2 linked regions of the Drosophila melanogaster genome follow. The protein of the gene in region 1 interacts with the protein of each later gene in a biochemical or structural test. Each region holds a gene or a part of one and is shown on either strand. Other genes may lie near its edges. The genes, in order: boi and vn.

The links.
Region 2: the proteins of boi (region 1) and vn form a complex in vitro, tested with the Drosophila melanogaster proteins (one study listed by BioGRID).

Annotation. Positions count from the first base shown.
Region 1 is NC_004354.4:2,466,821-2,471,988, forward strand, and holds the start of boi (brother of ihog), read right to left. Parts: upstream 3,224-5,168; 5' UTR 3,071-3,223; exon of another isoform or gene 2,785-3,070; intron 2,592-2,784; 5' UTR 2,517-2,591; intron 1-2,516. Other genes in the region: trol (terribly reduced optic lobes), read right to left, coding at 4,332-4,374.
Region 2 is NT_037436.4:5,842,619-5,847,770, forward strand, and holds the start of vn (vein), read right to left. Parts: upstream 3,047-5,152; 5' UTR 941-3,046; coding exon 1-940. UniProt on the Drosophila melanogaster protein: Ligand for the EGF receptor. Seems to play a role in the global proliferation of wing disc cells and the larval patterning. Shows a strong synergistic genetic interaction with spi, suggesting a molecular interdependence.

The sequences.
Region 1 (5,168 bases):
GGCCAAATCAGTCTGCAATTACACTTCCGCTGGTGGAGAGCGAAGATCACAAAAAGGCATGGAGAAACATAACCCCTCGCCCGAACCGACCGAACGAATACCTCCCATTCATGCCGTCTCCGCGTCTCAGGCTCATTCACAAGATTCAAAGTCGAGACGAGAGTTCAGCCATTCATTCATTCACGTTGATTGCCACCTTTCTCGATCTTTTTTTCTCCTGCCCCACGGCAGCCTCTTGTGCTCCAATGATTAGTCTGTGCTAATGAACAGGCGGCGGCTACCTAGCAAAAAAAAAAAAAAAAAAAAAAATACAACACAAAATGATGAAGAGAGGGCGAAGGGGAAGTTATCCATGAAGTCCAAGACCAACAAAAACAAATCCCAAAGACACAAAAACGCCGAAAAAAGAGCGAGTAAAAGCGAGGCAAAGCTGCAAGAAAGCGGCAAACAAACAGAAATCAAATCCAATTTATGTTTTCAGCATTAATCATAATTTCTTGGGGGCCCATTTTGGTGTGGCGTGAAATAATTTTTATGCGCCGTTTTTACGGAACCCAATTCGAAATCGAAATCCCAAGGGGAATAGGTGTCAATGTCTAATTTTGTGGCAAATGCACTCGGAGCATTCTGTTTTCCTCATTATGACTATGACTATGAATGTGGGCTGGATGGAAACTGGATCAGTGGATCAGTGCTAATGGGGTGTGAGAATCGATCGCGGACGTTTTGGCCATGAAATTCGAGCGCACAGAATGGGAAATAGTGGCCGAGATCAATTGGAAATGCGTACAGCTATGAGTTAAGCTCTTCATTTGCGGAATGAATTCACTCCTCTAACTCTAAATCGCATGCCTGGGTGGGCTGTACGATTGATGCAATTAAGATGCTTGCAAGATCGAGACCCTTTACTGTCCCATCCAATTATCCCGTTTTATGCTAAGCCATTTCCCATTGATTCATTGCAGCCCGAATGATTCAACAGTGAAAAGGACCTGGCTAGAGCCATGTTTCAGATCGGTAGCTAGCCAGACTGACTCTAGTCTGCTGGAGTGGACCCCACATCGAATAGGGCCCTGGGTTTCGGGGCGGGGGTTTCGTTTGCTGGGCCACTTGAAAAGCAATTTTTTGAAATTTATTTTCCATTTATCGCTTTATTTATTTTCTACCTTCTTTCAGTGTGGCCCTGTCGCTTTGCTCCCCTCGTCCACAGTTCACCTGGTCTATCTGCTTATGCGATTAGAGTTGCAGCAAAGGAGACCAGGAAGATGACGACGTGGATGGTACAAGATTGGGATTGGGACTGCGACTGGGAATGGGAATGGGAATGAGAACGATGACGATGACGGCGATGATGGTGATGATGCTGCTCGGTGTGTTTATTTTTGTTTGGACCGAGAGACCTTTTTGTTTGTCTGCATTTTCGACGACGAACAAGACGGAGCTAAGGAACTGTGTCTCAATGGGCCACAATCGAAAGTAATAATGAAATCCCATCAACAACGAGACAAAGGCTCTCTGACCATTCCGATTCCCATTCCCCTTTGGCCTTCCATCCCTTTTTTGGCCTGCAGAATGAGACGACGACACTTGGCTTGATTTTTATTGTTGGGCTTTTCCCCCGGCCCTTTGATTTATTGTTAGCGGGAACGGGCTGGAAAATGGGAATGCTCTCCGGTTTCAGGTTTGGCATTGGTATTGGTTTTAGTTTTGGTTTTGGCCAAGTGTCCGGTTCCCTGAATGCATCTATGTATCTCTATCTCTCTTCTCCCAGATGATCTTGTTCTGCGACCAGCTGCCTGTTGCATTCCGCTCGCTCACCTCTTGCCAATGGCAACAGAAATGTGCGTGCTTAAGCTACAGGTGGACTTGGCAAACGACGGACTGTGGAGACTGTAGAAACTGGTGGTTATGTTCCGCGCATACAACAACAAAAAAAAAACAAAAAAAAACTCTTGAGAAAAGTTAAGTTCTGCAAAGAATTATAATAATTGTTTCACATATTGGTCTAAGGATCTCCACATTACGGAGGGCCCACTGTAGTTGTGCAACCTCTCCCGATCCCCCATCCCATTCCCAACTTGGGGTTCTATTCTGGTGCACGGCACATAGACAGTTCATTAATGTTATCAACGAGCAAAAAGGGGAATGAAGGATGGTCTTGGGACCCCTGCCACCTCGGATGACAGGTTTGGTTGTGCACTTTTCTGGTTTATGTACGCGCTGGATTTGATGTGCAACACTTGTTGTTATTTTGTGATTTTGTTGGGGGCCCGCTGACACATAAGAGTAACGGCAATTGGCAATTGGCCATTGGCCATCGCCTGTTGGCCAAAAAAGGACATGGCCACATGACCATCGCGAAAAACTTGTCAACTGGAATCGATCGATATGGCAGTGGTAATTCCGGGGAAGGGGGTTTCTCTGATTTACCGACATTTACGGACTGCACTGACCAGATGAACTACTTTCGAGACACTGGCCACTGGCCATTGGCCATTTACCGTTGCAAAACTCACCTGTTGACTGAAACCTCGAAGGGCAGCTAAATCCTCTATCCAAATCCAATTCCAATCTGCGCCGCTTGTCGCACTCTAAACGAACGGTAAATATTTTGATTAGATTTTGATCACTGGTCGCAGCATTCTTGCGATTTTCCCATCACATAAGAAACAAGCAGTAAAAGAACAATGAGAGCCGAGAGAAAAGGCAGTCCAAATAACAGAAACCCATTAAAATGTTATGGCATTTTCAAAGCCTTTCGAACACACACACACATGCACACACTCGAGAACAGGGCGATTGGCATCGGCTTAAATCGAATTTCTGGGGATATGGAGATCACTTCTCGACGGACATTCGCCAAGTATTGATGTTCCGCCAGGGCATAATTTATAGTTATTAGGTGTTTCCTACGCGACGCCGCTGCCTTTTTAGCCGGCTGCCGTTATAAAAATAAAAACAAACTTGGCACACGCACTTTTCTCGCTCTCGCTCGTTCTCTCTCTCGCTCTCTCTTTCTTTGCACTTCCTAATTTGAATGCACCTCAAGGGCAGCCGAACCAGCACTCACAGGGATTTAGAACAGCCAAAAAAAAGGTAAACAAATAACCGTTATTAGCACGACGATTTTATTTTGAGATATATATTCAAATATAACTCTGTTATAGTTTCGCGCAGACTCCGCACACACGTCTTTCTTGCTCGGCGGCGCGAAGCGAAGTGAGCCAAGTAACGTAATGTAGTACTTATATCAATTCGTGCATACTTTTGGGCGCGCTTCGAAAATCTTGATGAGAAAGAGCAGAGAACCAAGAGAGAAACCAAAAGAGAACATTTTGAAGTTGTCTTCTTTCTTCTCTTTTGTTGTAATGTAATTGAATTCTTCTCTTCTCTTACAATTTTGAATTTGCTTGATCGGGAGGAGGCCACTGTATTTTGATATTACAAATGAATTATAACGGAAGTCGGAACTAATGATTGTTGTGAGCATACCTTTTAAGTTTTATAATGAGTATAATAAATACCTTTATTCTGAATCCTTAATCCTTAATCTTAATCGTTAATAGAGATGAAGATGATCTATGGAAATGATGATTTATGAATGAAGAACTCCTCCCACAATTAAACACATTCCAGACTGTTGTTGATTTCATTTTAATATATCTTCTGCATTCGCTTTTATCCACTCAACGGTTTTCGCTCGTTCACAATAGTTGCATTCTTAGTAATTCATTTATCATTATATGTATGTAGGTGTATTATCAATTGGTTTTTAATCAATAACGTGGTCTTGTATGTGTGTAGGGCCAATTTTCGATCTCCAACTTTTTACACTGGGCTGGCAAAAAAAGAGTCGTAGTCATAGGTATAAGCTAGAGACTAAAATTATGATTAAAATGCCTTCACTATTGTGGATTTTGTGGTTGCAGTTGGCTAGTATGCGTTGTTGTTGCTCGAGTTAGTTAGTAAGTTCTTAGGGTTCTAGGCTTTAACTGTATTTTCTGTATTATTTTGCATTAGTTGCATTATTGTATCTGTTTCGTTTCACTTCTTGCATGGCGTTTTTGTTAAATAAATGTTTGTGATATTTTCGCATTTTTCCTTGCTACAATCTTTAACTTAGACTTAAGGATCGAAGAAGCAATTGTAGTTGAAGTGATCGTTTCTCTTTTGTTTTTGTTTTTTTTATATTATGTGTAAGTGATATAATATTCAATTTTTGTGGATTTTCTTGGGCTTATGCATATGTTGTATATATAAAAATTGTTGTTCGTTTTGTTTCATTTGTTAATGTTTAATTAAAAAGCTAGTTTCGGCTGTTGGTTGTGTCCTCAGACGACTGGCGGTTCGGTTCCTCCCAGTGGATCGTCGTTACTAATTAAATAAAATGAAGAAACGAGAGAAATTGTAAATAAATTAAAAAAATAAAAACTTGTAATTAAAAAATTATTATAAAAAATTATTATAAAATCAAATGTGTGCGGTCTAACTTTAATAAATACATTACTTATATTTGATAAAATTTGATAAAAGCCTCGCCAAACTGCATTTTCAGACTTTGCCTCAACGCGAAGAAGAACTATGGTTTTCTTCGTACACTCAATGTCAATGTAAATTTGAATTTATAACTTCTTACATGCCATATTATTATTTTATTGACATATATTATATTATTTTAAATAATTGGGAAACTATGCATCTCAGAACTACCCATCTTTATAAGAACATCTAGCTAATAAGCTTGGATAATACACAGCTGTATCAAATAATAACGTAGTCAGCTTTTTGAGATCTGGTAAAATTATATATAATTTTATAATTGTTTCATATGGTTTATAGGTATTCCTTGCTGGTAACAATAATAATAGTATTCATAGATATGGTCACAAAGCAGAGTACATTTCGACTACATTGAGCTAAAGCTACCGTATCTCAGGATAGATTGCACAGATATCTGTTTTAAGGGTTTTTCCTATAGGATATGGTTACGTTGAACTACCTATCTATGCAAGAGTTTTCTACCTATAGATAACTGGTGTTCGGGTATGATCAAATATATAGCTTTAGAGTTGTGTGACCTGAGCTTGGCTTCGAAAGGAGTACAATCCAGTAAGAATTGGCTAATACTAGATAGGATCTGTAACAATACCATATGTGTGAACTCCGCA
Region 2 (5,152 bases), on another chromosome or scaffold:
GGTGCTTCCGCTGGTGCTTCCTGCGCTGCTGCTGCTGCTGCTGGTGCTTGTTGCCGCTCTTGTGCTGACGCTGCTGCTGCTGCTGGCGCTGCTCCTTCTGCTGATCCTGCCGCTGGCGGCGGTGATCGCGCTTGTCCTGCTGCAACTGTTGCCGGTGGCCGGTGCGCTGTTGCTGCCGGCTGCCGTTGGTGTTGCTGCCATCCCGACGACTTCGCGCCGCCTGCTCCGGACTGCGATCCTCTAACATGCTCTCTGGCATCTCGTAGGACTCGATTAGATAGCTCCGCACCGCCGGCCGACTGCTGTAGTTGCTCGGTAATTGCGCTCTGCTCTCTGGCTGATGTGGCAGCTGTGATGGTTGAATGTGGCGACGCATTTTGCTGCTCGCCGCCTCGCTGGGCATGCCATTGTATAATAAATTATATATTTGACTATTGATTAACGTATTTGGAACTTTTTGCATTGACTGCTGCTGCTGCTGTTGCTGCTGCTGCTGCTCTGGCACGGCAGCCACATGTTGCTCCTGCTGAGCGGGTGTACTGCTGCCGGCGTCGAATACTGTTGCTGGCTTTAACTTAACATTGCTACGGCTACTAAGACTATTGCTGTTGAGGCTGAGCAGCCTACTTAAGATATTGTTGTCGATGTTGTTGCTGCTGCTTCTACTGCTGCTGCTACCGCTCTCGGCGGAGCTTTCACTGCTCCCGCTGCCATTATCCGAACTCAGTGGTATATAGTAGCTGCTTTCTTCGGCACTGCCTTCCCATAATCTTGGAAGATGCTGCTGCTGCTGCTGCTGTTGTTGTTGCTGCTGCGTCGTCGCCGACGACGACAACACACATGTGTTTAGTAGCAACATGTAGCTGATAATTAGCAATATCAATGGCATTAGTTGCTTTTTTGTTTTTAGACTCCATTTGCGCAAATGTTGCGCATACATGGCGTCCTCCAAAGTTGTTGCTGCTATTGCCCCGACTTTATGTACAAAATCTCGATAGCGAGTGTTGCTGCTGCGCTTTGCTGCTGCTGCTGCGTATTGCTGCGTGATGCTGCTGCTGCTGCTGCTGCTGCTGCTGCTGCTGCTGCTGGGGGGTTGGTGTGTCCTTTGTCCTTGCAATTTGCCTAAACGTGACAAATGTAAAATTCGCTGCCTCGTCGTTGTGGCTTGTCGTATTTCCGTTTATCCTGCAAATACTTTCGATAGTTTCGTAGCATTTTGAGCGACAGCAGGGGCAAGAGAGAGACGGACTGTTCGAGAGCGAGAGAGAGGGGGATAGTGTATTTCGGACTGGTCTAACACACTGTATGCCTAGCATTAATTTATGAACACTTTGCCGCACTCGATTGTTGCTGTTGCTTTTGATGTTGCTGCTGCTGCTGTTGCTGTTGCTGCTTATTTTGGTGACTCATTTTTGTTATCTGAACAGAATTTCGCCGCGTTTCACTTGAGCGATCGCTAGGAGTCGACGCACGGCCACGCCCCGCTGCACGCCCCCCCCCAAAATTGGACGGGCCTAAGGTCGCGTGGCGTTTGATTTTTCCCCCACTTTTTTCGTAGCGCTTTTCTTCACGAGGCTTTTCACGCGCGCGATCGTTTCGTATCGCCTCGATTCGGGTTCGGATTCGTATTTGTATTCGTATTCGTTTGTGGGGCTCGGATATTCGTACTCGTATTCGTACTCGTATTCGGCTTTAACTTCGGCTGCCGCTCCTGCTGCTGCTGTTGCGTTTGCTGCTCTTGTAATTGTAATCCTCGGCGCCAGATATACGATAATGTTTGTCTGGCCGTATACGCGATCTCTCGCCTATATAGCCGTAGTCGCACCCGTAGTCGTAGCCGTAGTCTGATTCACGAGTCGTCTTTTCTGGCACACACACCGCTGCAGATCTCTGATCTCTGATGACGACGACGACGATGATGATGGGGATGGCGATGATGATGATGATGATGGTGGATATTGGACGGCGGATGGTGTACGGCGATGATGATGTGCGATATAGCAGACGCGGACACTCTCGCGTATCTCACGGATACGGATACACGGACGGGGCACACACAACACACACGTCTTCTAATTTTAGACAAAAGTAATTATAAAAGAAAAAACAGAGCAGAGTGCGCCGCGTTCAGCTTATACGCATATATATCTTCTACTTTGGCTTTGGCTAGATATATGTGCAATACATATATACCCGCATCTGCTGATGTATTTGTGCACCTTTTCGATGTCTGCGTGCTCACTAGCCGATTATATAGAAAAGTCGTCGCAACAGTCGGCTCTAGATAAATATATATATTTTTTGTGCATATATATATGCAACATGGGAACGCACACAATCACACGCGCTGGCACGAGAAGCGATCGTTTTTGTTTTATATATCTGTGCGTATATATATGTCTATGTGATAAGTACATATACCAAGTGCAGGCAGAAGTTGTTGCTTCAGGAGAGCCAAAATCTATGAAGATGCCCCGGCTGTTGTTGCACTGTTGTTGTTTTTATTATTATAGTTGCCACTGCTGTTTTTTTTTTATTTCATTCATTCCGCAAAAAGTCCGCTTTGCCGGGGAAAATCAGCAATTGCACACGCTTAATGAAACCGAAAGTCCTTTTACACGTTCGATCGATTTGTGTTGTTCGATTTGCTTGGTGGGTCACTTCGGTTACTCCAGCTGATGAAATTCGCTGGGAACTTTTATTCTTGAATATTAATAAATCAACGATTTTTCACACAGAATTTCACTGATTTCAAAACACTCCACTCGGATCTGCAGTTGTCTGGCTGATCTTTTATCAACGCCCTCAGTGAGTATCTGAACAATAATAATATTTGGCTATCTTACGGATTGCCGACAATCGCGCGCCCGTTCCGTTGCCGTCGAATGGTTTCTGCGGACTGTCGGTGGAAACTAACTGATTGTGTATGTTGGTTTAAAATTATTCTTTTCTCTGCTCCTAACACAGGCGGAATTTCGTATAATTCTTTTTTTATTTGGACGAACTCGCTCTACGGAGCGGCACAGGTCTGCTCGATTTGACGCCGCGAAAACGACTCAAACGTATCTCACCGATGCAGAGCAGAGTTGTAGCATTCACAACGTATCTCACGGATACAACTCAAACGTATCTCACGACTCAAACGTATCTCACTGGTCGGAATTTGTTCGACTGCGTTCGGCCGTGTTCGAATATCTTCGGCACGCTCATTTCGCTCAAACGTTGAGTGTTTTCTCCAACGTTTTCTTCTCACAGCAACGCCAGCATTTTCTCAACCCTGCAGTTTTCTCTCAACAATTTCGGGTGATCCAATTCATTACTTTATATCAATTACTTAAAGGCGATTTGTGGTTAACAATTGGGATATTTAATATGGAACATCAAGGAGGGCACGAGACCTTTACTTATTCGTCTCTAAAAGTATGCTTCACAATATGCTAATTTCTTTAGAGATTGCTCTAAAATTCTTTAAGTCTATAATGTCCTTTTTTTTTCAAATTTAGGGTATTAAAATATATTTTGTAAATCCGATTTACTCTCTCGCTCTCTCGAAAAATCCCTCTATTCCTCTGCTGCAAGGATAATTTCTTACCGTAATAAGTCGATACGATATATGCTAGAAAAACAACGTATTAAAAAAATATCGTCGTTACTCGTTAAAATGAAAACCGAACTAGGAGGGAAATCGAACCCGTTGACGATTAAATAGGTGTCTAACGACAATATTATCAATCCAATAGATAAAAATAGATAAGAGGACAGTTGTCATTGGCTTTTGCTCCGATTTCCAATAAGTTACTCATAATCGTCGAGCTTCTGATAGGCTGCTATAAATGAGTTCCAGTCTGAGGGTCTTTAAAAATTATTGCTCATACGCAAAAAGTTCAAGTCCTAGCTCAATGAGTCATTCCAAGTAATTGAATGAATGATGTGCGCTTATGCTGCATTTGAATAAGTTAAATGTACTGTCGGCGATCTTATCTAGTTCAAGAAAGTTTGGATTCATAACTAATCTTAGTTATCATTACAGAGCTGTAACTTTTTAACAATTTGCCTAAAAGCAATGAGCAATTTGTTAACAAAATTGTGAGCAAGAGACATAATTTTTTCTATTTATTGCTAATCGATCGATCACAATATGAGACCCTTACATAACTCGTCAATCTTAATTTAGTTTTGCTTTCATCCAACAGCTCTTAACTCAACGCTTTCGTTTGTTTTGACTACGGTTCCGGATTTCCTCCCGTTTTTGATATTTTCTTATGATGACTGCGGCGGCGAGTTGTCGTTCTTCTGGGGGCTCAGCTTTTTTCCCATGATTATTTGCTTTATTGTCAAATGTCAAGCCCACAACAGCGACTACAGAAAAAACAAAATGCGGCAGGTGATTCCGTCCAGCGCTTGGAAGTCGTGTAAACTTAACGTTTTTTTTTTTTTTTTTGTTTCTTACTTGCCCCAGCTGCTGATGTTTCACTCGCTGTTGTTGTTATTGTCAAACAAAGCTTCCACTTGTTCTACGCACTGCGCATAACAATAAAAGAAGCTGACAGAAGAAAAAAAAAATAAAAGAGAAAAAGCATAAAAGGGGAGCTTAGGTGGGGCGGCAGTGGTGTGGTGACAAGTGCGACAATTGTAAGAAAAGCCAGAAGCAAAGAAGGGTTCAAAGTCGGCCACTTGTGACGGAGCTGGGCCAACTTGGTCTACGTCATTGCCAGTTTCTGAATGAGCAAAACAGGTACTTACCCTACTTATCGAAACAAACCAGCTGATAAGAGCGCAAAAAAAAAACGCTACCAAATGATAGTGTTCTTATCGATTGGGCCAACTATTGCAGTTCATACGCGAAAAGCGCCCGGAAGCGGAAATAAAGCTCGACACCTGTCGCCGCTGCTCAGCGATCAGCGTTCAGAGTTCAGAGTTCGAGCAGGTAGATTGTCTTGAGTTTGCTAAGCATATATTTGAAAAGCTGCAAAAGTGAGAGAGAGAGACTCCATTGTCTAGTACGGAAGGAAGTGCTGGAAGCAAACGTTGGACAAGCTGCAGAATCCAGGGATCCAGATCCCCTCACTCCCTTTTAGAACCTGGCTGACGACAGACAACAGCTGCCAAGCGCAGCGTCATTGTATCATCAAAACACAAACACATATATATA